4 linked regions of the Anolis sagrei genome follow. The protein of the gene in region 4 interacts with the protein of the main gene of each other region in a biochemical or structural test. Links are inferred from orthologs where the notes say so. Each region holds a gene or a part of one and is shown on either strand. Other genes may lie near its edges. The genes, in order: UBE2Q2, UBE2J2, UBE2T and UBA1.

Region 1 (7,163 bases), on a different chromosome or scaffold from region 4:
GCTCTCAGTCCCGCCTGCATCGCAGGCGCGCCTGGCGGGAACGAGAGGCAGGGCCTTCTCAGTGGTGGCCCCTCGGCTGTGGAACGCCCTTCCTACAGAAATTAGATCGGCCCCCTCCCTATTGGCATTTCGGAGGAAAGTGAAGACCTGGCTGTTCGAGCAGGCATTTGAATAGGCAGTGTAATGAATATAGGAATACAGAACAACGGATGATGAGATTGGATCTTGATGCTACTGATGAGACACTAATGAGATGTTATATTGATGTTTAATTGTTTACTATGTTATTGTTTTAATTGTCTCTTAACTGTCTTTATGATGTTTAGCATTGAATTTTTGCTATTATTAACCGCTTTGAGTCGCCTAAGGGCTGAGAAAAGCGGTATACAAATGAAGTAAGTAAATAAGTAAATATATACATACAATATCTTATATTATTAGCATAGTACAATATCAGTATTATACATTACTATGTTGCACTATATCATTATATTGTGATATTATTAGTAATATTACATGTAATCTAAAATATATAATTATAACATTGTATTATTATTACTAGTATTATATTGTATTACATTATACTATTATAAATATTATATGTGTATACAATATATTACATTATTAGTAAAGACGAGATGGAAATTATAATATTTATAATATTTATAATGTAATACAATATAATACTAGTAACAATAATACAATATTATTATATGTATATACAAGATATTATATTATTAGTAAAGACAAGATGGAAATTATTATATTTATAATATTATAATGTAGTACAATATAATACTAGTAATAATAATACAATATTATTATATGTATATACAATATACTATATTATTAGTAAAGACGAGATGGAAATTATAATATTTATAATATTATAATGCAGTACAATATAATACTAGTAATAATAATACAATATTATTATATGTATCTACAATATACTATATTATTAGTAAAGACAAGATGGAAATTATAATATTTATAATATTATAATGTAGTACAATATAATACTAGTAATAATAATACAATATTATTATATGTATATACAATATACTATATTATTAGTAAAGACGAGATGGAAATTATAATATTTATAATATAATGTAATACAATATAATACTAGTAATAATACAATATGTATATAATATATATTATATTATTAGTAAAGACAAGATGGAAATTATAATATTTATAATATTATAATGTAGTAAAATATAATACTAGTAATAATAATACAATATTGTTATATGTATATACCATATATATATAAAGCCCTAAACGGTTCCGGCCCAAGATACCTAACTGACCGCCTCTCGGCCTATGAGCCCACGAGGACTTTGAGATCTTCCGGGGAGGCCCTGCTCTCGATCCCGCCTGCGTCACAGGCACGGCTGGCGGGGGCGAGAGATAGGGCCTTCTCGGTGGTGGCTCCTCGGCTGTGGAAAACCCTTCCCGTGGACATCAGGCTAGCTCCCTCCCTGTTGATGTTCCACAGGAAGTTAAAGACCTGGCTGTTTAAGAAGGCATTTGAACAAGAAGTGCAATGATTGGTATTTTGACCATAGGAATGGAACAACGGAAAATGATACTGGATTGTGGGTTTGACGATGAGACGACACGGAATGGCTTTTGTAGTAATGTTGATGTTTTTGATGAGGATGTTTTTTTGATAATGATGATTGTGGATTATTTTACACTATGTCTTGTATTTTGCACATGTTTTTCTATATTGTACACCGCAGTGAGTCGCCCCTGGGGCTGAGAATTGCGGTATATAAGCGAAGTAAATAAATAAATAATACATTATTATTATATGTATATACAATATATTATATTATTAGTAAAGACAAGATGGAAATTATAATATTTATAATATAGTACTAGTAATAATAATACAATATTATCATATGTATATACAATACACTATATTATTAGTAAAGACAAGATATTATTATATGTATATACAATATACTTTATTATTAGTAAAGACAAGATGGAAATTATTATATTTATAATATAATGTAATACAATATAATACTAGTAATAATACAATATGTATATACAATATATTATATTATTAGTAAAGGCAAGATGGAAATTATAATATTTATAATATAGTACTAGTAATAATAATACAACATTATTATATGTATATACAAGATATTATATCATTAGTAAAGACAAGATGGAAATTATAATATTTATAATATAATACTAGTAATAATAATACAATATTATTATATGTATATACAAGATATTATATCATTAGTAAAGACAAGATGGAAATTATAATATTTATAATGTAGTACAATATAATACTAGTAATAAGAATACAATATACTATATTATTAGTCAAGACAAGACGGAAATTATTATATTTATAATAATATAATGAAGGAACATGAGGGGCAAACTTTCCTGGCCCAATTGGGGGGGGGGGGGTGGCTCCAGGGGTTTGGGCCTGTATCTCCCACCCTTCCTTCTCGGTTGGGGGCTTCTGGGAGTTGTAGTGGGCCGTGAGGCCTGGTGGGAGTTGCAGGCCCCAGCCTGCGGAGGAGGCTCCTACTGCGAGGCAGGCTGGTGGGTGGGCGCTAGGCCGCGGGGAGGCCCTTTCCTTTTTTCCCTCCCTTCCCTCATTCCCTCATTCCTTCCTTCGTTCCCTGCTGGCTCTCACCGTGATGTTGCAGTGGATGGCGAGGGGCTGCTGGGGCGAGGAGGGCAGGAGGAGGAACTGGCAGTGGAGCTCGTCGAGGCGCCAGGAGAGGACGCGGAAGCGCTCGTGCTCCTTCCCGAAGATGGACTCCAGCAGCTTCAGCTCGGCCTTCAGCCCTGACACCGACGAGGACATCCTGGCCTCATCTCCGGAGAAAGCCCGCACGGAGGAGAAGCCTGCGGAAAGGCCTAGGCCGCGCTCGCCTTCCCTCCCTCTCTCCCTCAGCGTCGCCTCCGACGCCCCGGCTAGGCCTCGCCGCGATGGAATCATGGGAGTTGTAGTCGGGCGCGTCGGGAGCGCTCATTGGCGGAGGGGAGTCCCACCACTCCGTAAGACTACGGCTCCCGGCATGCCCCGCGCGTGGAGGACATTTAAAGGGGGCGCGGCCTCCTTCCCCTCACTTCCTCAGTCTAGACTAGGTCTTTCTCCAAGCTTCCTGAACTCTCTCACACGCTTCCCACCTGAAGAGCCTCACAGGAGAAGGAACCCCACGGGAGCCAGCAAGGCAACTCCTCCAATCAAGAAACAGCTTACTGAGATCTACAGAGATACTTAGAGGAACACCTCAGCAAGCAAGAGTCCAAAAGAGGCAGTGTTGCTGCAGACAGAGATACTTGGAGGAACACCTCAGCAAGCAAGAGTCCAAAAGAGGCAGTGTTGCTACAAATCCAGCAGCACCCTGGAAGTTAAACAGGATCAGAGTCTGGAAAGTTTCCTGAACTATCTCACATGCTTCCCACCTGGAGAGCCTCACAGGAGAGGGAACCAGCTAGACAACTCCTCAAATCAAGAAACAGCTTCCTAAGACCTACAGAGATACTTAGAGGAACACCTCAGCAAGCAAGAGTCCAAAAGGGGCAGCAGCACCCTGGAAGTTAAACAGTATCAGGGGAGCCAGCAAGACAGCTCCTCCAATCAAAAAACAGCTTCCTAAGACCTACAAAGATACTTAGAGGAACTCCTCAGCAAGCAAGAGTCCAAAAGGGGCAGCAGCACCCTGGAAGTTAAACAGTATCAGAGTCCGGAAATCTTCCTGAACTATCTCACACACTTCCCACCTGGAGAGCCTCACAGGAGAAGGAACCCCATGGGAGCCAGCAAGACAACTCCTCCAATCAAGAAACAGCTTCCTAAGACCTACAGAGATTCTTAGAGGAACGCCTCAGCAAGCAAGAATCCAAAAGAGGCAGTGTTGCTACAGACCCAGCAGCACCCTAGAAATTAAACAGTATCAGAGTCTGGAAAGCTTCCTGAACTATCGCACTATCTCACACGCTTCCTACCTGTAGAGCCTCACAGGAGAGGGAACCAGCAAGACAACTCCTCCAATCAAGAAACAGCTTCCTAAGTCCTACAGAGACACTTAGAGGAACACCTCAGCAAGCAAGAGTCCAAAAGAGGCAGTGTTCCGTCTTCCAGGAGCATGGTTTACATTGTCTTTTAGCTGCATGGGATAGCATTCCTTTGCATTTCCCCAGAGTTGCTACAGACCCAGCAGCACCCTGGAAGTTAAACAGTATCAGAGTCTGGAAAGCTTCCTGAACTATCTCACATGCTTCCCACCTGGAGACCCTCACATGAGAAGGAACCCCACGGGAGCCAGCAAGACAACTCCTTCAATCAAGAAACAGCTTCCTAAGACCTACAGAGATTCTTAGAGGAACACCTCAGCAAGCAAGAGTCCAAAAGAGGCAGGCTCAAACCCAGAACCTCAATCCATTTTTTTTGGTCGTGTCAGGAGCGACTTGAGAGACTGCAAGTCTCTTCTGGTGTGAGAGAATTGGTCATCTGCAAGGAAGTTGCCCAGGGGGACACCCAGATGATTTGATGTTTTTATTATCCTTCTGGGAAGCTTCTCGATAAATTTTATCTCAATAAAATAGTGAAGAGTAGCAACATCACACTGGCAACGAAGATCTGGATAGTAAAAGCAATGGTATTCCCTATAGTCACCTACGGATGCAAGAGCTGGACCATAGGGAAGGCTGAACGAAGGGAGAGAGATGCTTTTGAACTGTTGTGTTGGAGGAAAGTTCTGAGAGTGCCTTGGACCGGGGAGGAGAGCAATGTCCAATCTCGACAAAATAGTGAAGAATAGAGACATCACACTGGCAACAAAGATCCGCATAGTCAAAGCCATGGTATTCCCCATAGTCACCTACGGATGTGAGAGCTGGACCTTAGGGAAGGCTGAGCGAAGAAAGAGAGGTGCTTTGGAACTGTGGTGTTGGAGGAAAGTTCTTGGACAGCAAGAAGATCCAACCAGTCTCCAGGAAATAAAGCCCGACTGCTCATTGGAGGGAAGGATAGGAGAGGCCAAGATGAAGTACTTTGGCCACATCATGAGAAGAAAGGAAAGCTTGGAGAAGACAATGATGCTGGGGAAAATGGAAGGAAAAAGGAAGAGGGACTGACCAAGGGCAAGATGGATGGATGGTATCCTTGAAGTGACTGGATTGACTTTGAAGGAGCTGGGGATGGTGACGGCCGATAGGGAGCTCTGGCGTGAGATGGTCCATGAAGTCACGAAGAGTGGGAAACAACTGAACGAATGAACAATAACACACAAACTTGGCTGTGGGACCACGCTTTCAGGACAGGGAAATAAAGCAGCAATAGGAAAGAGGACCAGGCCAATTAGATTTGACATGGATGACTAGGACGGTTTTAAATGGTGTATTTTAATATTTTGATAAATGTTTTTAATGTTGGGTTGTTGTAGGTTTTTTCGGGTTATATGGCCATGTTCTAGAGGCATTCTCTCCTGACGTTTCGCCTGCATCTATGGCAAGCATCCTCAGAGGTAGTGAGGTCTGTTGGAACTAGGCAAAAGGGTTTATATATCTGTGGAATGACCAGGGTGGGACAAAGGACTCTTGTCTGCTGGAGCTAGGTATGAATGTTTCAACTGACCACCTTGATTTAGCATTTGATAGCCTGGAAGTGCCTGGACCAATCCTTTTGTTGAGAGGTGATTAGATGTCCCTGATTGTTTCCCCTCTGTTGTTTTGCTGTTTTAATTTTAGAGTTTTTTTAATACTGGTAGCCAGACTTTGTTCATTTTCATGGTTTCCTCCTTTCTGTTGAAATTGTTCACATGCTTGTGGATTTCAATGGCTTCTCTGTGTAGTCCGACATGGTGGTTCTGAGAGTGGTCCAGCATTTCTATGTTCTTAAATAATATTCTGTGTCCAGGTTGGTTCATCAGGTGCTCTGCTATGGCTGACTTCTCTGGTTGGAGTAGTCTGCAGTGCCTTTCATGTTCTAAAATTCTCTAAAAACTCTAAAATTGCTAATCAAGGTGGTCAGTTGAAACATTCACACCTAGCTCCAGCAGACAAGAGTCCTTTGTCCCACCCTGGTCATTCCACAGATACATAAACCCACTTTCCTAGTTCCAACAGACCTCACTAGCTCTGAGGATGTTTGCCATAGTTGCAGGCGAAACATCTGGAGAGAATGCCTCTAGAACATAGCCATATAGCCCAAAAAAAACCCTACAACAACAACCTTATTAGTATTTCATTGGGAAATGTGGGCCTGTTTTTGGCTGATGAGATAGGATTGTTGTTGTGTGCTTTCCAGTCATTTCAGACTTAGGTTGATCCTGAGCGAGGGCCGGGTAAATGACCTTGGAGGGCCGTATTCGGCCCCCGGGCCGTAGTTTGAGGACCCCTGCTCTAGAACATGGCCATATAGCCCGAAAAAACCTACAACAACTCAGTGATTCCGGCCATGAAAGCCTTCGACAATACGTTTTTAATGTTTATGTATGTATATAAGATTTTGTGTCCCGGCATTGAATGTTTGCCATAGATATACTGTGCTCCGCCCTGAGTCCCCTGAGTTGGGGTGAGAAAGGCGGAATATAAATAATATATAATAAATAATAATAATAATAATAAATGAACAATAATAATAAATAATAATAAACTGGGCTTTGCAGGCCAATGGAGGCTCCACCACAGGCATCAGAAGAGCCACGAGACCAAGAAGAAGCCACGAGAGTCAAGACAAAGACCCACCCAGAGGGAAAGGGTTCTTGCCAGACATCAAGGGAACCACCGACCACAGAGGGAAGCTGAGGAAGAAACACAACCTACAAACTATCTACAGACCCATTAAGAAAATCCAACACATTCAGCAAAGGACAAGAGGGATCCTCTTATTTCTGCAGGAGTCAACCATATACCATGCAGATGTGGACAAGTCTCCATAGGGACCACCAAACGCAGACTAACCCAAACACGAATCCAGGAACATGAAAGGCACTGCAGACTCCTTCAACCAGAGAAGTCAGCCATAGCTGAGCACCTGATGAACCAACCTGGACACAGCAGATTATTGGAGAACACAGAAATACTGGACCATTCTCACAACCACCATGTTAGACGACACAGAGAAGCCACTAAAATCCACAAGAAGCATATGGACAATT
Region 2 (7,448 bases), on a different chromosome or scaffold from region 4:
ATACTAACGGGCTTGTTTATAAAGCTATTGTCCTCCCAACCCTGCTATATGCCTGACAAACGTGGACTGTCTAAAAACATCACATGCAACTCCTGGAACGATTCCATCAGCGCTGTCTCTGGAATATCCTGCAAATCTCTTGGGAAGACAAGCGGGCTAATGTCAGCGTGCTGGAAGAAGCAAAGACCACCAGCACTGAAGTGATGATCCTCCGCCGTCAATTCCGCTGGACCGGCCACGTTGTCTGGATGCCCAACCACCGTCTCCCAAAGCAGTTGCTCTACTCTGAACTCAAGAACGGAAAACGGAAAGTTGGTGGGCAGGAAAAGAAATTGAAAATGGCCTGCATCAATAGAAGCATAGTGTCTAGATATAGGGAAGTAATGCTACCCATGCTCTATTCTGCTTTGGTTAGACCACACCTGGAATATTGTGTCCAATTCTGGGCACCACAATTCAAGAGAGATGTTGACAAGCTGGAATGTGTCCAGAGGAGGGCGACTCAAATGATCAAGGGTCTGGAGAACCAGCCCTATGAGGAGCGGCTTAAAGAGCTGGGCATGTTTAGCCTGAAGAAGAGAAGGCTGAGAGGAGATATGATAGCCATATAAATATGTGAGAGGAAGCCACAGGGAGGAGAGAGCAAGCTTGTTTTCTGCTTTCCTGGAGACTAGGACGCAATGGAACAATGGCTTCAAACTACAAGAAAGGAGATTCCATCTGAACATGAGGAAGAACTTTCTGACTGTGAAAGCCATTCAGCAGTGGAACTCTCTGCCCTTGAGTGTGGTGCAGGCTCCTTCTTTGGAAGCTTTTAAACAGAGGCTGGATGGCCATCTGTCAGGGGTGATTTGAATGCAATATTCCTGCTCTTGGCAGGGGGCTGGACTGGATGGCCCATGAGGTCTCTTCCAACTCTTTGATTCTATGATTCTAAAGATGGTCTCAAAGCCAACCTTAAAAACTGGCATAGACACTGAGAACTGGGAAGCCCTTGAGCGCTCCATCTGGAGTCAGCTGTGACCAGCAGTACTGCAGAATTTGAAGAGGCACGAATGGAAGGCGAAAGAGAGGAATGTGCCAAGAGGAAGGAGTGTCAAGCCAACACCAAACAGGACCGCCTTCTACTTGGAAACTAATGCCCTCACTACGGGAGAAGATGCAGATCAAGAATAGTCACCTATGGACCCACCAGAATACTGATCCTAGAAGACTATCCTACTTGGCCAACGAGTGATCGCCAAATATAGTAAATAAAGAAATATAATAAATCATGATATCTGGTTTTTTATATTGATCTTGCTATTTGCTATATTTCTCAGCCCGCGGGATAGAGAGTTTCATCTATGCTGATGATCGTGCCATTACTGCTCAAGCAGGGAGCTTTGAGATGGTTGAACAGAAGCTCTCCGAAGCTCTAGGTGCTCTTACTGCCTATTACAGGGAAAACCAGCTGATCCCCAACCCATCTAAAACACAGACATGTGCTTTTCATCTCAAGAACAGACAAGCATCCCGAGCTCTGAGGATTATTACCTGGGAAGGAATCCCACTGGAGCATTGCAGCGCACCCAAATACCTGGGAGTCACTCTGGACCGTGCTCTGACCAACAAGAAGCACTGCCTGAACATCAAGCAAAAGGTGGGTGCTAGAAACAACATCATACGAAAGCTGACTGGCACAACCGGGGGATCACAACCAGACATGGTGAAGACATCTGCCCTTGCGTTATGCTACTCTGCTGCTGAGTACGCATGCCCAGTGTGGAACACATCTCACCACGCTAAACAGTGGATGTGGCTCTTAATGAGACAGGGTGCCTGCGCCCTACACAACTGGAGAAATTACACTGCTTAGCCGGTATTGCACCACCTGACATACGCTGGGAAGTAGCAGCCAATAGTGAAAGGACCAAGGCAGTGACATCTCCAGCTCATCCCCTGTTTGGGTATCAGCCAGCACGCCAACGACTTAAATCAAGACATAGTTTTCTTAGATCTACAGAGACACTCGCTGGAACACCTCAGCAAGCGAGAGTTCAAAAGTGGCAGGCTCAAACCCAGCACCTCAATCCGTGGGTGATACCAAATGAGAGACTCCCCCCTGGGCACACAGAGGATGGGGTGACTTGGAAGGTGCTGAACAGACTGCGCTCTGGCACCACGCGATGCAGAGCCAACCTCCAGAAATGGGGCCACAAAGTGGAGTCCACGACATGCGAGTGTGGAGAAGAGCAAACCACTGACCACCTGCTGCAATGCACCCTGGGCCCTGTCGCATGCACAATGGAGGACCTTCTTGTGGCAACACCAGAAGCACTCCAAGGGGCCAGAGACTGGTCAAAGGACATTTAACCAACTACCAAGTTCGCAAAATTTGTGTTTTGTGTGTCTGTTTGTTTTGTTAGAAATGTAACACAATGGTCTGGTTGGTGATGACACGATAAATAAATAAAATAAAATAGCCTGCGGGTGTATATAGTAAGTAAGTAAATAAATAAAATGTGGATTTTATTGATGCCTCCCAAATAATCCCAAAAAATAGGCCTAAAAGCCAAGTTATTTTGAATTGTTGGGCTGTGTTATTGTTAGTATTCTGGTTCTCAAACAGGCGTGGGCCAACTTCGGCCTTTCCTCCAGGGGTTTTGGACTGCAACTCCCACAATTCCTAACAGCCTGGCGGCTGTTAGGAATTGTGGGAGTTGCAGTCCAAAACCCCTGGAGGAAAGGCCGAAGAGAGGCCTAGCTCAATGGACGCCAAAGAGGGAGGCTTGGCGGCGGGGAGTAGGCCTCACCCCGAAGGCCGCAAAAGCCCCGGCCTGGCCCGCTCTCTCTGTCCCGCCCTCCGTCCCTTCTCGGGCCTCTCACCGCTTCCTCCGGGGCTCGAGGCCCTCCTGCGCCGCCTCGCGAAGGGAAGAGGGCCGAGGGCAGGCTCCCTCCGGCTCCCTCCGCGACCCTCCAAGATGGCGGCCCGAGGCAGGCCCAGGTCCCGACCGGCTTCCCCTTTCCCACACTTCCGCTTCCGTCCGAAGCCTCGCCGAGGCGGGTTGCATCACTTCCGGTTTGGGAACCTCAGCCCGCCTTGCTGTTTGGGGAGTGGTTTCTCAAGCGAGCTGAGCCGCATGCGCGGAATCAGAGCCCTGCCGTCTCTGGTCTGAGCATAGCCGTTTCGGGAGGTGAGGCGCATGCGCGGAAGCAGAGCACCCCCGCCCCGCCCTCTCTGGTCCTCCCGTTGCCGTGGCAACCGGTCGCCCTGGAGACGGCTGCGGCCTAGCTCAGGATGGATTTTGAAGCCTCCCAAAGTCCCTTCAAGTCTTCCACAGTTCCTCACAGCCTCAGGCCCCTTCCTTTTCTCCCTCAGGAAGGACAACAATTCCCATTATTCTCTATCCATTTCCACCCACCCCAAAAATGTAGTCCAGCCAGATCTGGGGATGATGGGGTTTGCAGTCCAGCCAGATCTGGTGCTGATGGGACTTGCAGTCAAGCTAGATCTGGGGTGATGGGGTTTGCATTCCAGCCAGATCTGGGATGATGGAATTTCCAGTCCAGTCACATCCGAAGATGATGGGATTTGCAGGCAAACCAGATCTGGGGACAATGGGATTTGCAGTCCATTCACATCTGCATATGATGGGATTTGCAGTACAACCAGATATGGGAATGATAGGATTTGAAGTCCAGCCAGATCTAGGGCTGATAGAGTTTGCAGTCAAACCAGATCTGGGGACAATGGGATTTGCAGTCCATTCACATCTGCGTATGATGGGATTTGCCATCCAACCAGATCTGGGGATGATGGGATTTGCAGTACAGCCAGATCTGGGGATGATGGGATTTGCCATCCAACCAGATCTAGGGCTGATAGGGTTTGCAGTCCATTCACATCTGCGTATGATGGGATTTGCAGTCCAACCAGATCTGGGGATGATGGGATTCACAGGATCATGGGATTTGCAGTACAACCAGATCTGGGGATGATGGGATTTGCAGTACAGCCAAATCTGGAGGTGATGGGATTTGAAGTCTGGCCAGATCTGTAAATGATGGGATTTGCAGTCTGGCCAGATCTGGGGATGATGGGATTTGCAGTCTAGTCAAATATGGAGCTGATGGAATTTGCAGTCCAGTCACGTCTGCATGTGATGAGATTTGCAGTCCAACCAGATCTGGGGCTGATGGGGCTTGCAGTCAAGTTAGATCTGGGGTGATGGGGTTTGCATTCCAGCCAGATCTGGGATGATGGGTTTTGCAGTTCTCAAATATGGGAATGATGGGATTTGCAGTCCAACCAGATCTAGAGCTGATAGGGTTTGCAGTCCATCCAGATTTCGGGGTGTTGGGATCTGCAGTCCAGTGAGATCTAGGGATTATGCAATTTGCAGTCCAGTCTGATCTGGAAATGATGGAATTTGCAGTCCAGCCAGATCTGGGGGTGATGGGGTTTTCAGTCTGGCCAGATAGGGGGCTGATGGAATTTGCAGTCCAGTCACATCTGGGGATGATGGATTTGCAACCGAGTCAGATCCGAGGATGATGGAATTTGCAGTCCTGTCAGATCTGGGATTGATGGATTTGCAGTCCTGTCTGATCTGGAACTGATAGGATTTGCATCCCAACCATATCTGGGGGCGATGGGGTTTGCAGCCCAGTCAGATCTGTGGATGATGGGGTTTGCAGTCGAGTTGGGATGATGGGATTTGCAGTGGATTTGGAGATGATAGGATTTGCATTCCAACCACATCTGGGACTGATGGAATTTGGAGTCCAGTCAGACCTGGGGATGATGGATTGGCAGTGCAGTCAGATCTGGGGGTGATGGATTAGCAGTGCAGACATATCTGGGGATGGTGGGATTTGCAGTTTGGACAGATCTGGGGATGATGGGAGTTGCAGTCGTCCAGAACTGGGGTTGATGATAGTTACCATCCAGTAAGATCTGGGGCTGATGGGATTTGCAGTCCAGCCAGATCTGGGGATGGTGGGAGTTGTAATCCAGCCAGATCTGTGGATGATGAGTATGCGTTTTCTGATGGGACTATTCATAGAAGGAACTATGAGCAATAATAAACAAACTCCTGGTCTTCCATCCTTCCAACTCTGATGCTCCGCACTTAATTTTCCAGATGCTGTTTGTCCGGTTCCAGTCACCCGTCCGGTATTTGGATTCCAGCATTAGCGAACGCAGTCTGTTATTAAGCAAGCTTGCCTTACCATAAAGGATTTCGACACCTCTTCCGACTTGTTTTGTCCTGCATGGGAAATGCGTTGCCACACGGCACGGAATCGGCACCCCTCTTCCTCCGGCAGGAAGGGCCGAGTGCCATGCTCCGGCTCCAGGGATGGATTTATTTCACCAAACCAGAAGAAAAAAGGCTTGGGTTTTGCAACATCGCCGGTTGGGGAGTCGTCTCGCATGTGGGAACCTGCGCCGTGCCTCCAGAAGGAGCCGAAGCTGAAGGTAAGGGAGGCACTTCTTTATTTGCAAAGCCAGGCACAAACAGGGATGGTTTAAGGTGTCATTTCCATGAATCTGCTCCAGGTTTTAGTCTGAACTTTCACAGACCTGTAATCAATCCCTTAAATATGTTTAGAATTGGCTTAAAATCTGGATTAAACCCAGAGTGGATTCATTACCCCATTGGTGTGATAATAATCTAATGCTTGATAATATTTCTTCCATTCTAACTAATTTTGGTACCGAGAAAAGTTTATTTATATATTATATTTCTTCAATTCCAAGATGCATTTTCCTCTCATATAAATATCTCTGAAAATGGGGTATGTCTTAAAACATTGGTTCCCAACCCTATTTTTTGACCAGGGACAACTCTCCAACATTAGTACCAAAAGGGTTACAAATCGGTTTTTGGTCTAATTTAGATTTGGTTTGGTTGTTTGGGGTGTTAATTCAGAAAATTGCATTGCATAGACCACATCAGCTGATTAAGAAACTTCATTGGATAGACCACATCAGCTGATTCAGAAAATTGCATTGGATAGACCACATCAGCCGATTCAGAAAAGTGCATTGGATAGACCACATCAGCTGATTAAGAAACTTCATTGGATAGACCACATCAGCTTATTAAGAAACTTCATTGGATAGACCACATCAGCTGATTCAGAAAATTGCATTGGATAGACCACATCAGCCGATTCAGAAAACTTCACGGGATAGACCACATCAGCTGATTCAGAAAAGTGCATTGGATAGACCACATCAGCTGATTCAGAAACTGCATTGGATAGACCACATCAGCTGATTCAGAAACTGCATTGGATAGACCACATCAGCTGATTCAGAAAATTTCATTGGATAGACCACATCAGCTCTCGTTTCTGATACAGAACATGTGCCATCCAGTAGTCTCAATCTGCTCATCCACAGAAAACCATATTTTATACAGTGCTGGTCTCCTTCCTTCCTTCCTTCCTTCCTTCCTTCCTTCCTTCCTTCTCTCCCTTTCTCTTTTGCTCTCCTCCAACGGTGCCGGGAAAGTCACACGAGGGCGAGAGCATGAGGGCAACGGTGCTGTCCTCCTTCCTTTCTTCTCTCCCTCTCCTTCTCTCTTTCGCTCTCCTGCAACGGCGCGGTGAAAGTTGCAAAAGAGCAAGGGCAACAGCATTGGCTTCCTTCCTTCCTTCCTTCCTTCCTTCCTTCCTTCCTTCCTTCCTTCCTTCCTTCCTTCTCTCCTTCTCCTTCTCTCTCTTGCTCTCCTCTACCAGTGCAGTGAAAGTCTCGAGAGGGCTTGGGCAACGGTGCTGGCCTCCTTCTTTCCTTCTCTCTCTCTCCTTCTCTCTTTTGCTCTCCTCCAACAGTGCCAGGAAACTCTCGAGAGGGTTTGGGCAACAGTGTTGGCTCCCTCCCTCCCTCCCTTCTTTCCTTCTCTCCCTCTCCTTCTCTCTTTTTCTCTCCTCCAACAGCACCAGAAAAGTCTCGAGAGGGCTTGGGCAACGGTGCTGGCCTCCTTCCTTCCTTCTCTCCCTCTCCTTCTCTCTTTTTCTCTTCTCCAACAGCACCAGGAAAGTCTCAAGAGAGCTTGGGCAACGGTGTTGGCCTCCTCCCTCCCTTCCTTCTTTATCTCCCTCTCCTTCTCTCTTTCCCTCTCCTCCAATAGTGCCGGGATAGTCTCAAGAGGGTGAGGGCAGCAGTGCTGGTCTCCTTCCTTCCTTCTCTCCCACTCCTTCTCTCTTTTGCTCTCCTCCAGCAGTGCCGAGAAAGTCACGAAAGGGCAAGAGGATGAGGGCAACGGCGTTGGCCTCCTTCCTTCCTTCCTTCCTTCCTTCCTTCCTTCCTTCCTTCTGTTTTTGTAAGGCTCCAGTTGCAAGGATGTCACCTTTGGATCTGTATTGCAGATGAATAGATGTGTATTAGTGCAGGAAGACCATCCCTTGCATGAGATCAAGGCCAGGAATAGGATTAAGAAATTGGGATTTGTACTTGA
Region 3 (7,781 bases), on a different chromosome or scaffold from region 4:
TATTTAAATTGTGGTGCCCAGAATTGGACACAGTATTCCAGGTATGGTCTGTCCAAGGCAGAATAGAGGGGCAGCATGACTTCCCTGGATCTAGACACTATACTCCTATTTATGCAGGCCAAGGCTTTTTAAGCTGCCTATCAGGTTGAGGGACTTACGTTTTTCATCATACACTGAGACGTACAGTGGAAATTATGTATCTGTTGGGATTAGGTTCCAGGAACCCCTCCACTTACCAACATCTGTGGAAGCTCACGTATCATAATCTAAAATGGCATAGCAAAATGGCATCCCTAATATTAAATGGCAAAAATATAAATTGTTTTTTAGGACTTTGATGGGGGACCGACATTGCGGATGCAGAATCTGTGGATATGGAAGGCCATATACTTGATGAGTGGGAGGATAGATGAGAAGATGGAGTAAGGGAGGATTCAGTTTTAAATATGTTTTGATTTGTTTGTTTCATAACAAAATATTTAATTTTATTTAAAAGTTCATATTTTAATGCATTTGCTCAGATTTAATTGTATCATGTTTGCTGTTAGCTGCCTTGACTCCCCTGTACTGAGGGCTCTTCCAGCCAAGCCTTATATCTCAGGATCTGATTCCAGGTTTTCCATTTATCTCAGATTAACTGGCATTGGGGACACATATAATCCAGTTTAAAGCAGAAAACCTGGGATCAGATCCCGAGATCAAGGACCTATCTGGAGGGCTCTGAGAGAAAGGCAGGATTTGTGTGTGTGTGTCAGGGCAACTCGAGAAACTGTTGTGAGAGAATTGGTATTCTGAAAGGACGTTGCCCAGGGGACATCCAGATGTTTGATGTTTTACCATCCTATGGGAGGTTTGTCATATGTCCTTGCATGGGAAGCTTGAGCTTGACAGACAGGAGCTTACCTTTCGGTCAACCAGTTCGGCCGGGACAAAACTGTATATGTTTTAATGTGTTTATTGACTATAACTGTTTTAATGGAGGGGAGTATGTTATTGTTTTTACTGTTTATTTTATTGGTATTGAATGGTACTGGAGTTGTAAGCCGCCTTGACTTCCCTGAGGGGGAGAAAGGCGGGGTATAAATGAAGTAAAAAAAATAAATAAATACATAACACATTGCGCCACCAGGGGCAGGATAAAAACTAAGTAAAACAAATACACTATGTCTCCTTATGGATCAAAGTTTCCCAACTGGGTAGGTGGGAAACTACTCCCTACGCAAAGAAAGATGACAAGGACTCCTGGCAATCCTTTGCACCTTGACATTAGGACACAGCTCTCTTGATTCCAGGCCATACAGACTGGGGCTCACTGGAGTTGCAAAAGAGGGGTACCTTGCCTGAGTGAAACCCCACCCCAAAAAAGCCCCTGTACCTTTAATGGTTGTATAGAAAAGAAAACAGGAGGTGCTTCTTGTCACCCAACCAGGGAACAAGCAACATCTGCTGTAATTCTCTCTTCTTAGCAAATAGTAAAGTTTTTTTTTGTCACACAGAGTAAAGGCAATGTATTGTCGAAGTGATTCATGGCCAGAATCACTGAGTAGTTGTAGGGTTTTTTTTCGGGCTATATGGCCATGTTCCAGAGGCATTCTAGAACATGGCCATATAGCCTGAAAAAGCCTACAACATTCCAGAGTAAAGACACGCTGTTTATTTTGAACTGTTTTAGTCTATTGTAGTATTTTGTGCTGAGAATGCCTTAGACAGCGAGAAGATCCAACCAGTCCATACTTCAAGAAATAAAGCCTGACTGCTCATTGGAGGGAAGAATAGTAGAGGCCAAGATGAAGTATTTTGGCCACATCATGAGAAGAAAGGAAAGCTTGGAGAAGAGTATGATGCTGAGGAAAATGGAAGGAAAAAGGAAGAGGGGCCGACCAAGGGCAAGATAGATGGATGGTATCCTTGAAGTGACTGGATTGACCTTGAAGGAGCTGGGGGTGGTGACGGCCGACAGGGAGCTCTGGCATGGACTGGTCCATGAAGTCACGAAGAGTTGGAAACGACTGAACGAATGAACAACAACAACAATTGTGGTATTTTACCACATTGAATTTTTGCCTGTTATGTTGTGGGGAAATAAGGCGGGATAGAAATAAAGTTTTACTTATACCATTTCTCCACCACCTGAAACGCTGGGAAGAAGCGGAACATGGTGAAGTTACTTTGGGGATTTTGTTGCTGCTGCTGCGTGCCTTTCAAGTTGTTTCCAAGGTATGACAACCCTAAGGCAAACCTATGGCAGGGTTCTCCTAGCAAGATTTGTTCAGAAGAGCTTTGACATCACCTTCCTCTTGAGGCTGAGAGAGTGTGTCTCGCTCATTCCAAGTCTAGCCTTCAGAGTTCCTGGGGTGCATCTACGCTGCTGAGTTAGTGCAGTTTGATATCACACGAATCGCCATGGCTCAATGCTATGGGATCATGGGAGTTGTAGTTTTACAAGGCCTTTAGCCTTCTCTGCCTCACCAGACTACATCTCCCAGGATCCCACAGCGAAAGTGATGTCAAACTGTGTTAATTCTACACTCTAGATCAGGCATGGGCAAACTTGGGCCCTTCAGGTGTATTGGACTTCCAACTCCCACCATTCCTAACAGCCTCAGGCCCTTTCCTTTTCCCCCTCAGGCGCTTAAGCGCCTGAGGGGGAAAAGGAAAGGGCCTGAGGCTGTTAGGAATGGTGGGAGTTGAAGTCCAATACACCTGAAGGGCCCAAGTTTGCCCATGCCTACTGTAGATGCACCCCTCGCCCAATGCTCAGCCCACAAAATGTTCCAACCAGGCCTAACCAACTGAGCTGAGAAACACCATCGGAACCAGAACTCCCTTCACACACACCACAGGCCTGAGGGGAAAGGGCCTTCTCTTGCTGAATGCCTGAGAACCAACGAAGCAGCAGGAGCCACAGGCGCCGCAACGACTCACCGCGTTTCTCAGCCTCAGGAAGGCAACTCACCAAACAAGCCGAGAAGACAAAACGCGCGCCCTGTTTTGAACCGGAAAGACCCAGCGTCCCAAGCGCGTCGCAGCCTGAATGGACAGACCGAGTGTCCGTCAAAAGCAACTCAAAGCGGATTGGCCAATGGAAACAATAGCTCCACCTCCCAAGAAATCTAAACAGTTTCTAATGGGATACAGTCTCTAGCGTCGATCTTGATACTTCCGGAACTAATTTCGCTGTCACTCTGCATGGTGTTAACACAGGCCCCTTCCACACAGCTGAATAAAACCCCATTTTCTGCTTTGAACTGGAATATATGGCAGCGTGGACTCAGGGCCCTTCCACAAAGCCCTATATCCCAGAATATCAAGGCAGAAAATCCCACAATATCTGCTTTGAACTGAGTTGTCTGAGTCCACACTCAGATAATGTGGGATTTTCTGCCTTGATATTCTGGGATATAGGGCTGTGTGGAAGGGCCCTCGGATAACCCAGTTCAAAGCAGATATAGTGGGACTTTCTGCCTTGATATTCTGGGTTATATGGCTGCGTGGAAGGGCCCTCAATAATACCCAAACTCCAGTCTTCCAGGTGTTTATAATATATTGTCAAAGGCTTTCATGGCTGGATTCACTGGGTGGTTGTAGGTTTTTTCGGTCTATATGGCCATGTTCTAGAGGCATTTTCTCCTGACATTTCGCCTGCATCTATGGCAAGCATCCTCGGAGGTCCCAATAGACCTCAGAAGACCTCACAACCTGAGGATGCTTACCACAGATGCAGGCAAAATGTCAGGAGAGAATGCCTCCAGAACAGGGGTCCTCAAACTAAGGCCCAGGGGCCAGATGCGGCCCTCCAAGGCCATTTACCTGGCCCTCGCTCAGGGTCAACCTAAATCTGAAAGCACACAAAAACAACAGCAACAATCCTATCTCATCAGCCAAAAGTAGGCCCACACTTCTCATTTAAATACTAATAACTTTATATTTGTTAAAATTGTTCTTCAATTTAATAACTGTATTGTTTTAAGTGTTTTTTGCACTACAAATAAGACATGTGCAGTGCGCATAGGAATTCATGTGTTTTTCGAATTATAATCCGGCCCTCCAACAGTTTGAAGGACTGTGACCTGGCCCTCTGTTTAAAAAGTTTGTGGACCCCTGCTCTAGAACATGGCCATATAGCCCGAAAAAACCTACAACAACCCAGGTTTTAATATAGGCATTTTGTAGAAATACGTTTTCATATGTATATTTTATATAATGCCTACCATGGTTACATTTTTTTAGTTATGTTGTAACCTACCTCAAGCCACTATGAGAGGTAAGAAATAAAATAATAATAATTTTGGACTTCAATTCCCTGCATTTGACTGCAGCCCAGGCATACTAAAATATATATAGGCATTTGCTATTATCCACAGTTTCAGGAATCCATGCCGGAATCTTGGAACATATCCTTCATGGATAAAAGGGTCACATAATATTCTTTATTTATATGCAGTGACCACAACTGTACACAGTAGTCTGGATATAGGTACACTATAGGTTTGTATAAGGGCAGTTCCATTTTCAAGTTCCCTTTCTAATTGTGCCTAGCAAGGAATTTTACTGTTTAATTTTTTTAGCAACTGCAAACTTTCTCCTGTGTCAACACTTTCTTTTTACAATCCGCGTTCCCTTTCTTGCTAAATCACTGGCAACTCAGTCCCATTAAGGAAGCTAGATTTTTATTATACTTTATTTTTGCCCCAGTGCATATCACTTTGCATTTGCTTACATTACATTTATTTGCCGTAAGAGTCTTTGTTGTTGTAAGTTCTACAAGAGATTAAAATCAGTTAAGATGCTGATGTCAGGTAAAATGGGGCCCTTGAGTCAATTTCCTCCCTTGTTAATTTCCTTAGGAAGCTGACAGCTAAATTTGGTAAGCACTTCAAAGATGATCCATAAAGTGTTGAGTGACTGTTCAGTCAAAGAACTTCATTTCTATTTGACAAACTCTGTTCAAAGTCTCCTAACAAGTAATGACCCAGAAAAAGGAGGACTGATAATTAACCCGAATTCACATTTCCTGTCACTAATTAGATTAGAACAATTTAAAATGGTTGTGACATAGCTCTAAGTAAACATCATAAATTATATTTTTTACAATTGCAGCAATCAAATCTTCATTTACAGAAAAAAACTAGTCATTATGAGTGAATCATAGCAGAAGTGGCAAAACATCTGGTTTAGGATGCTATACAACCCCTGTATCTGCAAGGGATATGTTCCTGCAGACTGGAAACCATGAATAGCAATGTACAGAAGTGTTTATTATAATGTGTGTATAACTGTATTAATGTTTTACATTGGTTGCCTATGGCTGGAGCGGCCTAGCTGTGAGAGATATGTTGCCATAGAAACAAGGCAGAAGAGGAGGTGGGAGGAGCTTAGAGAGAAAAAGGTTTAGAAAGTGACAGTTAAGTTCAGTCAGGAGGAAGAGACCCTGAGAGAGTAGCAGAGTCAGATAGGGACTCTGAGAGAGTAGCAGAGTCAGGGAAGAGACTCTGAGGAGTGAAGAAGTGTAGAGTTAGTTTTTTAGTGTTCGTGAATATTTCTTCAGCTAGGGAGCTGAAGGGGAAAACCTCGTTAGATTACTTTAGTTAGAAAGAACTAACAGAGGCTTTTTAGGATCGCCAGTCGGTGGAAGACTGGAGATCAGTGATTTGATCCAGTATAGATCAAACAGTGAGAATATTCACAGCAGGGAACACTGAATAATAAAGCACTTCACTACAGCAAGAGTTTATAAGTTGTAACATCAAAAGTCTGAACTGTATCGCAACCAAGTCATATTGTAACCATCAAGTATATGCCAAGCCTAACATCTTCATATTGTAACTATCAAGTATATGCCAAGCTTAACAACTTCATTTTGCAACCATTCGCTTTGTTTAACAATAAACTTGTTCTCTTTGGTTTTTAAAACTGCCTCATCTCCATTAATTTATGTTCGGTGCACCCACTCTACCAAAATTACCTCACAACACAAACAGAGACTTTAATACCAGCGTCTCTTTACATTTTGGTGGCAGTTTCATTAGCATTGTCGGAGGTTCTTTACAAGCAAGACCTTTGGAAATGAATGATTTCCACCAAAAATTGCCATACAGTCACCCTGAAGGACCCAGAAAATTTCTAGAGATGACATATTTTGTCTGCAAACTGAAGAGCTCCTGTCCCAGGAAATGACTGTGCCTCAAAAGAAAGGAATGAACAACTGTCACTAGCAATAGGTCACCCAGAACTTCCTTCCAGATATTTTGGACTAAAACTCCCAGAAGCCCCAGTCATGACCAATAATCTGAGGTACTGGAAGCTACTATTCAAAGAAGCAGAGAGGAATAGTGAGAGAAATAAAACCTCACTTGCTTCCTCCACCTTGCCAGTAGGAGCATCCTGTGAGCAGATATGTCATTTCTGCCCAGAGAGCATTCTGCACTGTAGAATTAATGCAGTTTGACACCACTTTCACTGCCATGGCTCAATGTTACAGAATCCTGGGTGGTTTGTTTTGTGTGTGTGTGTGTGTGTGCGTATGAGAGAGAGAGAGAGAGTGAGAGAGAGAGAGTAGTCACTTCTGGTGTGAGAGAATTGGCCATCTGAAAGGACATTGACCAGGGAACGCCTGGATATTTTACCATCTTGTGGGAAGCTTCTCACACATCCCCACATGACAAGCTGTAACTGATAGCTCACCCTGCTCCTCGGATTAGAACCACCGACCTTTTGGTCAGCAGTCCTGCCAGCACAAGGGTTTAACCCATTGCGCCACTAGGGGCTCCTGGTGGTTTGGCGAGGCACCAGCAGTCTTTGGCAGAGAAAACTAAAGGCCCTGTAAAACTACAATTATGATTTCATAGTATTAAATCACAGCAGTTAAAATGATGTCAAGCTGCATTAATTCTACAGTGTAAAATGCATCCCTGGTTAAGATCCCAACTCTTATTTTTGTAAAGAAGCCACGGAAGAGGTCTGCCTTCACACGTTTGGAAGATGGTTACTGGCTGCTTATGTACTGAAATAAACCCATTTTTCCTACTTCCAACAGACCTCACTACCTCTGAGGATGCTTGCCATAGATGCAGGCGAAACGTCAGGAGAAAAATTGCCTCCAGAACATGGCCATATAGCCCGGAAAAACCTACAACAACCCAGTGAGTAAAGTATTTCTAGCCAAATGTGAGAACACGGCAACCAGATGCAGTGTGGATGACTACTGCTAAACTAGAAGCACAGCATTGTGCTAGTCATGAGGTTTATAAATGTCAACAGTAAGATGGTTTTCTTAAGTATGAAGCCTCCTTATCTTCCTTGGGTCTAAATTAGGCCTGGGTAAACTTGGGCCCTCCAGGTGTTTTGGACTTTAACTCCCACAATTCCTAACAGCCTCAGGCCTCATCATTTGAGAAAAGGAATGGACCTGAGATTGTTAGGAATTGTGGGAGTTGAAGTCCAAAACACCAGGAAGGCCCAAGTTTGCCCAGGCCTGGTCTTTTGATCATTTGAAATAGCCATATAACAAGAGATTTGGGGAGGGGGGGTTGTACAGATTTGATCCCAAATCAACTTTTTCAGTCTTCATCAGTAATCTTAAATGCTGACGGTTGCCAAATGCCGAGGGATATAAGGACATTCTGCATCTAGGCCAGAGGTTTAGCACAACTGGTAAATCATCAGCAATTATAAGATCTATCAACTAAAATGTTGCAAGTTCGAAGCCCCGGGTTGGCATGAGCTGCCAACTGTCAGCCTAGCTCATTGTTTACCTAAGCAATTTCAAAACAGCTTTAGCT
Region 4 (7,461 bases):
TTAAGCCGCTCCTCATAGGGCTTGTTCTCCAGACCTTTTATCATTTTAGTCGCTCTCCTCTGGAAACATTCCAGCTTGTCAATATCTCTCTTGAATTGTGGTGCCCAGAATTGAACACAGTATTCCAGGTGTGGTCTAACCAAAGCAGAATAGAGGGGTAGCATTACTTCCCTAGATCTAGACACTATGCTCCTATTGATGCAGGCCAAAATCCCATTGGCTTTTTTTGCCGCCACATCACATTGTTGGCTCATGTTTAACTTGTTGTCCACGAGGACTCCAAGATCTTTTTCACACGTACTGCTCTCGAGCCAGGCATTGTCCCCCATTCTGTATCTTTGCATTTCGTTTTTCCTGCCAAAGTGGAGTATCTTGCATTTGTCCACATTGAACTTCATTTTGTTAGTTTTGGCCCATCTCTCTAATCTGTCAAGATCGTTTTGAATCCTGCTCTTGTCCTCTGGAGTATTGGCTATCCTTCCCAATTTGGTGTCATCTGCAAACTTGATGATCCTGCCTTCTAACCCTTCATCTAAGTCATTAATAAAGATGTTGAACAGGACCGGGCCCAGGACAGAACCTCATTTACATCATTCCCCACATCCAAAGCACCCTGATCCTGAAACAAAATTACAGGCTGAACTACAACAAAAACAATAAATAAGACAAATAAGATTTCTGATAACAAAGCCGACTCATCATTCTTGTTCATCTCGTGGTGCCAGAGTGCAGTTTGTTCAGCGCCTTCCAAGTCGCCCAGTTTTCTGTGTGCCCAGGGGGGAGTCTCTCATTTGGTATCAGCCATTGATTGAGATTCTGGGTTTGAGCCTGCCACTTTTGGACTCTCGCTTGCTGGGGTGTTCCAGCGAGTGTGTCTGTAGATCTCAGAAAACTATTTCTTGATTTAAGTGGTTAATGTGCTGGCTGATACCCAAACAGGGGAAGAGCTGGAGATGTCACTGCCTTGGTCCTTTCACTATTGCTTGCTACTTCCTGGCGGATGTCAGGTGGTGCAATACTGGCTAAACAATGTAATTTCTCCAGTGGTGTAGGGCGTAGATTTCATTAATCCTTTAATGAAAAGTGATTACCGTAATATTGATTCGCAACTCAAAGTAATTCTTGCTGATTCCTTATGCCAATATGTTTCTCTCTCTCTGAAACCTGAATTTGCCTGAAGCAAACAGTCAGGACCAAATGAACTGAGTGCTTCTACTGTACAGGGCTGCCCTCCAGATAACACATTTATGTACGTTTGCTATAATAGCTGGCAGACGTCCCATGGGAGGCTTTGGTTAGCCACTGTTGACCAAGATGACCCTTTGATCTTCTCTAGCATGGCACTTTTAAAGGTTTTTGATAGTTTAATTGGTTGATTTTGTGATAAAAATGTGCTCTTTGCCAAAAAGCAGAGGATTTGGGGACAGAGTACAGTGAACACACAGAAATCGTATGCTTCAATAGGACAAAATCTTACCAAGAAGCCAAAATGCAATTGTTGATGCCAACTGGGTCAGCAGATAGGTTCTCCAGCTCCACATTTCACCAGCAAATCTGAATGGCTGGCACTTGTTCATCCAAGCTGTTTAGGCTCTTGGGGATTTCAAAGTACTTTGAAGTTGGATCTGAAGAATGTTGGCTAATTAATGGAAGTATAACTTGCTGCGAATGTTCAGAGGGACTCATCAGCACTGGCAATAATAAAAACTGTGGACTTCATCACACTGAAGCAAGGAAGTGTTTGGAAGAGCTCAGTCTGACTCAGTTTTGAAATGAAACTGATGATTTCCCTACTTTCATCACACTGTAAAATGTATCCGTGTTACTCAGTTGTACTCAGCATTTTTTCAGTAGATTTGCCATCACACTGTAATCACTAGGCACTGCTCACCATCCCTCCTCTCTTTGAAATGTCAGCTGTTACGTGTCTTCAATTTCGGAAGCAGGGGGGGGGGGGAATGTGGCAATGTCCTCTCAGCTGCCCCACAGAGAAGGGTGTAGACCTTGGAAAACTATAACTGCCAGGACTGCATAATATGGAGCTATGGTATTGAAAGTAAGATCCAACTGCATTCATTTCAAAGTGTATATGCACCAAGAGAAGGGCACTGACCTTGGAAAACTATAACTCTCAGGACTGCATAATATGGAGCTATGGAATTGAAAATAAGATTCAACTGCATTCATTCAACAGTGTAGATGCACCAAGAGAAGGGTTGACCTTGGAAAACTATAACTCCCAGGACTGCATAATATAGAGCTATGGTATTTAAAGTAAGGTCCAGCTGCATTCATTTCATGGTGTAGATCAGTGGTTCTCAACCTGTGGGTCCCCAGGTGTTTTGGCCTACAACTCTCAGAAATCCCAGCCAGTTTATCAGCTGTTAGGGTTTCTGGGACCCACAGGTTGAGAACCATTGGTGTAGATGCATCCAGAGAAGGTTCATGGACCTTGGGAAACTGCAATTCCCAAGAGCAAGTCATGGAGACATGGCATTTAAAGTAAGGTCCAACTGCATTAATTTCACAGTGTAGATGCACCAAGAGAAGGGTATCGACCTTGGAAAACTATGACTCCCAGGACTGCGCAGCATGGAGACAATGCATAATTAATAATAATAATGATATTTAGTCTAAGGATATGTCTGAACTGGAATGCAATTTAGGGCCACTTTAACTGCCATGGCTCAATACTATGGGATCCTGGGATTTATAGTCTGGTGAGGCACCAGCACTCCTTGACAGAAAATGCATCAGACCTTGTAAAACTATAGTTCCTATTATGCCATAGCACTGGTCCCTGGCTCTTAAAGTGGTGTCAAACTGCATTCATTTTACAACGTAGATGAACCCTAACAGGGAAATAAACTGGTAGCGTACTTTCTTAGATTAAAGACGCATCCTGTCGAATTAAGTAAATTTGTCCCCATTTAAACTGTCATGGCTGAAAGTTATAGACTCAAGACACTGGCAGATATAGCCTTCGGTTTTCTCTGCCAAAGAATGTTGGTGCCTCCCAAACTACAACTCCCATAAATCCACAGCATTGAGTGGCAGGAGTTAAAATGGGGCAAAACAGCATCAATTCTAATGTAGATGCACCTTTAGGCCTCATCTACACTGCCACATAAAATCCAGATTGTCTGCTTTGAACTGGATATGGCAGTCGAGACTCATATAATCCAGTTCAAAGCAGATAATATATGGCAATGTAGATGGGACCTCAGGGCCCTTCCACACAGCTATCTAACCCTGAATATCAAGGCAGATGATCCACAATATCGGCTTTGACCTGGGTTATCCCAGTCCACATTGTCATATAACCTGGTTCAAAGCAGATAATGTGGGATTTTATACGGAAGTGTAGATAAGACTTCAGGACCCTTCCCCACAGCCCTATAACCCAAAGCAGATAATATATTGCAATGTAGATGGGACCTCAGGGCCCTCCCACACAGCTAATCCTGAATATCAAGGCAGATATATCCCAGAATATAAAGGCAGAAAATCCCACAATATCTGTTTTGAACTGGGTTATCTGAGTCCACACTGTCATATAACCCGGTTCAAAGCAAATAATGTGGATTTTATATAGCAGGGTAGAGGAGACCTCAGGGCCCTTCCACACAGCCATATAACCCAGAATATCAAGGCAGATAATCTACAGTATTGGCTTTGAACTGGGTTATCTGAGTCCACACTGTCATATAACCCGGTTCAAAGCAGATGTGGGATTTTACATGGCAGTATAGATGGGACTTCAGGACCCTTCTCCACTGCTATATAACCCTTAATATCAAGGCAGAAAATCCCACAATATCGGCTTTGAACAGGGTTATCCGAGTCCACACTGTCATATAACCCGGTTCAAAGCAGATAATGTGGGATTTTATATGGCAGTATAGATGGGACTTCAGGGCCCTTCCCTACAGCCATATAACCCAGAATATCAAGGCAGAAAATCCCACAATATCGGCTTTGAACTGGGTTATCCGAGTCCACACTGTCCTATAACCCGGTTCAAAGCAGATAATGTGAGTTTTTTATCAATGCACCCCCAACCTGAAGGGGGCTCCCAGACCCGCTTTGGGCCCGATCGGCGCCCCCTGCGTGTGCCTCCAGCCACGTGTTTACGCCTCTGCCTCTTCCCCACGCATCAGAAGCCACGTGCTCCCTTCCAGGTCCAGCCGCCCGCCGACTACATTTCCCAGGTAGCCGAGCCGTACCATTCCCGCTCGACGAAGGGGGGAGGTCGTATTCTGAGTCGTCCCGTTCTGCTTCCCGGGGACCTCTTCCCGACAAAGGATGGTGGGGGTCAAAAGGGGCCGGCGTGGTCCTCAAGTGCACGGGAAGGGTTTTCTCTAGCGGGGAGGCAGAGCGCGGCGCTGCAAGGGGGAGCCCAAGAAGAGCGGACACCCCTCTGTGGGGGAATGGTTGCGCCCGACCCTCTCCTCGCAGCAGCAGCAGCAGCAGGCGGCGGCCGGGGCCCGCAGAAGCAGCCCAACAGGAGAGGCAGGCAGGCAGAGAAGCGGGAGAAGGACCCCCAGTTGGAACGCAGGCGGCTCACAGAGGGGGGGTGAGAGAGACCCGGAGGGGGTGCTGCTCTGAATGGGAGGGGGTGATGAGGAAGGGAGGGGGAGGGAGCGCAGAGGGAGCAGCCCCCTCCCTGCCTGGAAAGAAGGGGCGGGGCTGGGGAGGGGGAGGGGGAAGGGCATTTTGGGAATGGGGGTGTAGGGGGTCATGGGAGAGGAGCACCCACAAAGATGCATTCATTGATGGATTGTGTGGGTTCCTTTCCCCACCCCCCACCCCACTTTCTCGAGTGGGTGGAACAAGGGACATATTTTGCATATTTAATTTTTGCATATTTAATTAATTTAATTTTGGGAAATCCATATTTGATTTTGGAATTCCCCAAAGGACTTGATTTTAGGAGCATCTATCTGCATGCACACACTATGTGCATTGTTGGGTTGCTGTGAGTTTTCCGGGCTGTATGGCCATGTTCCAGAAGCATTCTCTCCTGACGTTTCGCCCACATCCACAGCAGGCATCCTCAGAGGTGGTGAGATCTGTGCATTGTTGGGTTGCTGTGAGTTTTCCAGGCTGTATGGCCATGTTCCAGAAGCATTCTCTCCTGACGTTTCTCCCACATCCACAGCAGGCATCCTCAGAGGTTGTGAGGTCTGTGCATTGTTGGGTTGCTGTGAGTTTTCCAGGCTGTATGGCCATGTTCCAGAAGCATTCTCTCCTGACGTTTCACCCACATCAGGCATCCTCAGAGGTTGTGAGGTCTGTGCATTGTTGGGTTGCTGTGAGTTTTCCAGGCTGTATGGTCATGTTCCAGAAGCATTCTCTCCTGACGTTTCACCCACATCCACGGCAGGCATCCTCAGAGGTTGTGAGGTCTGTTGGAAACTAGGCAAGTGAGGTTTATATTGGTAAAAAGTAAAGGTTTTCCCCTGACGTGAAGTCCAGTTGTGTCCGACTCTGGAGTGTGGTGCTCATTTCCATTTCTAAGCCGAAGAGCCGGCGTTGTCCATAGACACTTCCAAGGTCATGTGGCCAGCATGACTGCATGAAGCGTCGTTACCTTCCCACCAGAGTGGTACCTATTGATCTACTCACATTTGCATGTTTTCAAACTGCTAGGTTGGCAGGAGCTGGGGCTGACAGCGGAAGCGCATGCCACTCCCCGAATTTGAACCTGCAACCTTTCAGTCAACAAGCTCAGCAGCTCGGTGCTTTAACCCACTGCACCACCGGTGGCTCCTACCCACCGGGGGCTCCTAGAGCAGTGTTTCTCAACTTGTGGGTCCCCAGGTGTTTTGGCCTACAACTGCCAGAAATCCCAGCCAGTTTACCAGCTGTAAGGATTTCTGGGAGTTGAAGGCCAAAACATCTGGGGACCCACAGACTGAGAACCACTGTCCTAGAGGTTTATATATCTGTCTTTTATTCGTGTTGTATTTTGAAATAGTCATATGGCTGGTCAGATAAATAAATTATTATTATTATATATCGGTGGAAGGTCCAGAGTGGAAGAATCAACTCTTGTCTGCTTGAGGTCAGTGTCCAGGTTTCAATGGTCCACTTTCATTTATTTATCGTGTTTGGAGCGAACCAAAACAGTTGTATTGCATTAAACACAAACAAACAAACAAAACGCAAAGTTTGCAGACTTTGTATTCTATTAAATGTCCTTTGACCAGTAGCTGGCCACTTGGGTAGCCTCTGGTGTTGCTGCAAGAAGGTCCTCCATTGTGCATGTGGCAGGGCTCAGGTTTGTATTTTTTTGGTCGTGTCAGGAGTGACTTGAGAAACTGCAAGTCGCTTCTGGTGTGAGAGAATTGGCCGTCTGCAAGGATGTTGCCCAGGGGACGCCCGGATGATTTGTTGTTTTTATCATCCTTGTGGGAGGCTTCTCATGGCTCAGGTTACATTGCAGTAGGTGGTCTGTGGTTTGCTCTTGGCCACCTTGATTAGCATTGAATGGCCTTGCAGTTTCAAGGTCTGGCTTCTTACTACCTGGGGTAATTCTGTCTTAGAAGGTGATTAGCTGGCCCTGATTGTTTCTTGTCAGGAATTCCCCCTTTTTTAGTGTTGTTCTTTATTTACTGCTATGATTTTAAGAGTTTTTTTTTTAAATACTAGTAGGCAGATTTTGTTCATTTATCCATTAAATACTAATCAAGCTGGTCAATTGAAATGTTCACACCTAGCTCCAATAGGCAAGAGTTCTTTCTCCCACCCTGGACTTTCTACAGATATAAACCCAATTTTCCTAGTTTCCAACAGAACTCACAACCTCTGAGGATGCCCGTCATAGATGCAGGCGAAACTTCAGGAGAGAATGCTTCTGAAACTGGGGGTCCTTCCACACAGGATATCAAGGCAGAAGATCCCACATTATCTGAGTGTGGACTCAGATAACCCAGTTCAAAGCAGATATTGTAGGATTTCCTTGATATTCTGGGATACAGGGCTGTGTGGAAGGGCCCATGGTCAATACAGCCTGGAAAACTCACAACAACCCAGTGATTTCGGCCATGAAAGCCTTCAACAATACATATGTGTGTTATGTTTGGAGTGCTGATTATTCTAGGTAAGGAATTCCACGCCATTCCTTTGGACCTGATAGGGGAAGTAGACTCTGTTAACTGAAACTCTCAAGCAACCAGAAAATCAGTTTTTAGTAGGAATGTCTGTTTAAGTTCATTTGGTTTTTTATTTCTCTCTGTTTCATTTTCATGGCTGTATTTCAATATTACTATCATGTCGATACAGAGTTTATGACATAGTCTGAAAAAGAGTGAAAACATGGCTTTAGGATCAAGCCTTTGGTGAATAATACAGTGCAATAGATGGAATTATGTGCAGTGACTATTGGAACAGCCTGGACTGTTCTTGCAGATAGGATGGTTTATAGTAGTAATTGTAATGTTTTCTAATCTTGTTTTT

Evidence for each region.
Region 1: of the proteins of UBA1 (region 4) and UBE2Q2, one has a biochemical effect on the other in vitro, tested with the Homo sapiens proteins (3 studies listed by BioGRID). The link is inferred for Anolis sagrei from reciprocal best matches to the Homo sapiens genes UBA1 and UBE2Q2.
Region 2: of the proteins of UBA1 (region 4) and UBE2J2, one has a biochemical effect on the other in vitro, tested with the Homo sapiens proteins (2 studies listed by BioGRID). The link is inferred for Anolis sagrei from reciprocal best matches to the Homo sapiens genes UBA1 and UBE2J2.
Region 3: of the proteins of UBA1 (region 4) and UBE2T, one has a biochemical effect on the other in vitro, tested with the Homo sapiens proteins (4 studies listed by BioGRID, with this or other methods). The link is inferred for Anolis sagrei from reciprocal best matches to the Homo sapiens genes UBA1 and UBE2T.

What each region holds. Positions count from the first base shown.
Region 1 is NC_090029.1:11,631,848-11,639,010, forward strand, and holds the start of UBE2Q2 (ubiquitin-conjugating enzyme E2 Q2), read right to left. Parts: upstream 3,011-7,163; 5' UTR 2,996-3,010; coding exon 2,687-2,995; intron 1-2,686.
Region 2 is NC_090033.1:4,945,308-4,952,755, forward strand, and holds the start of UBE2J2 (ubiquitin-conjugating enzyme E2 J2), read right to left. Parts: upstream 3,019-7,448; 5' UTR 2,869-3,018; intron 1-2,868. UniProt on the Homo sapiens protein: Catalyzes the covalent attachment of ubiquitin to other proteins. Seems to function in the selective degradation of misfolded membrane proteins from the endoplasmic reticulum (ERAD).
Region 3 is NC_090024.1:205,674,031-205,681,811, forward strand, and holds the start of UBE2T (ubiquitin-conjugating enzyme E2 T), read right to left. Parts: upstream 3,007-7,781; 5' UTR 2,926-3,006; intron 1-2,925. UniProt on the Homo sapiens protein: Accepts ubiquitin from the E1 complex and catalyzes its covalent attachment to other proteins. Catalyzes monoubiquitination. Involved in mitomycin-C (MMC)-induced DNA repair.
Region 4 is NC_090022.1:193,378,006-193,385,466, reverse strand, and holds the start of UBA1 (ubiquitin-like modifier-activating enzyme 1), read left to right. Parts: upstream 1-4,444; 5' UTR 4,445-4,576; intron 4,577-7,461. UniProt on the Homo sapiens protein: Catalyzes the first step in ubiquitin conjugation to mark cellular proteins for degradation through the ubiquitin-proteasome system.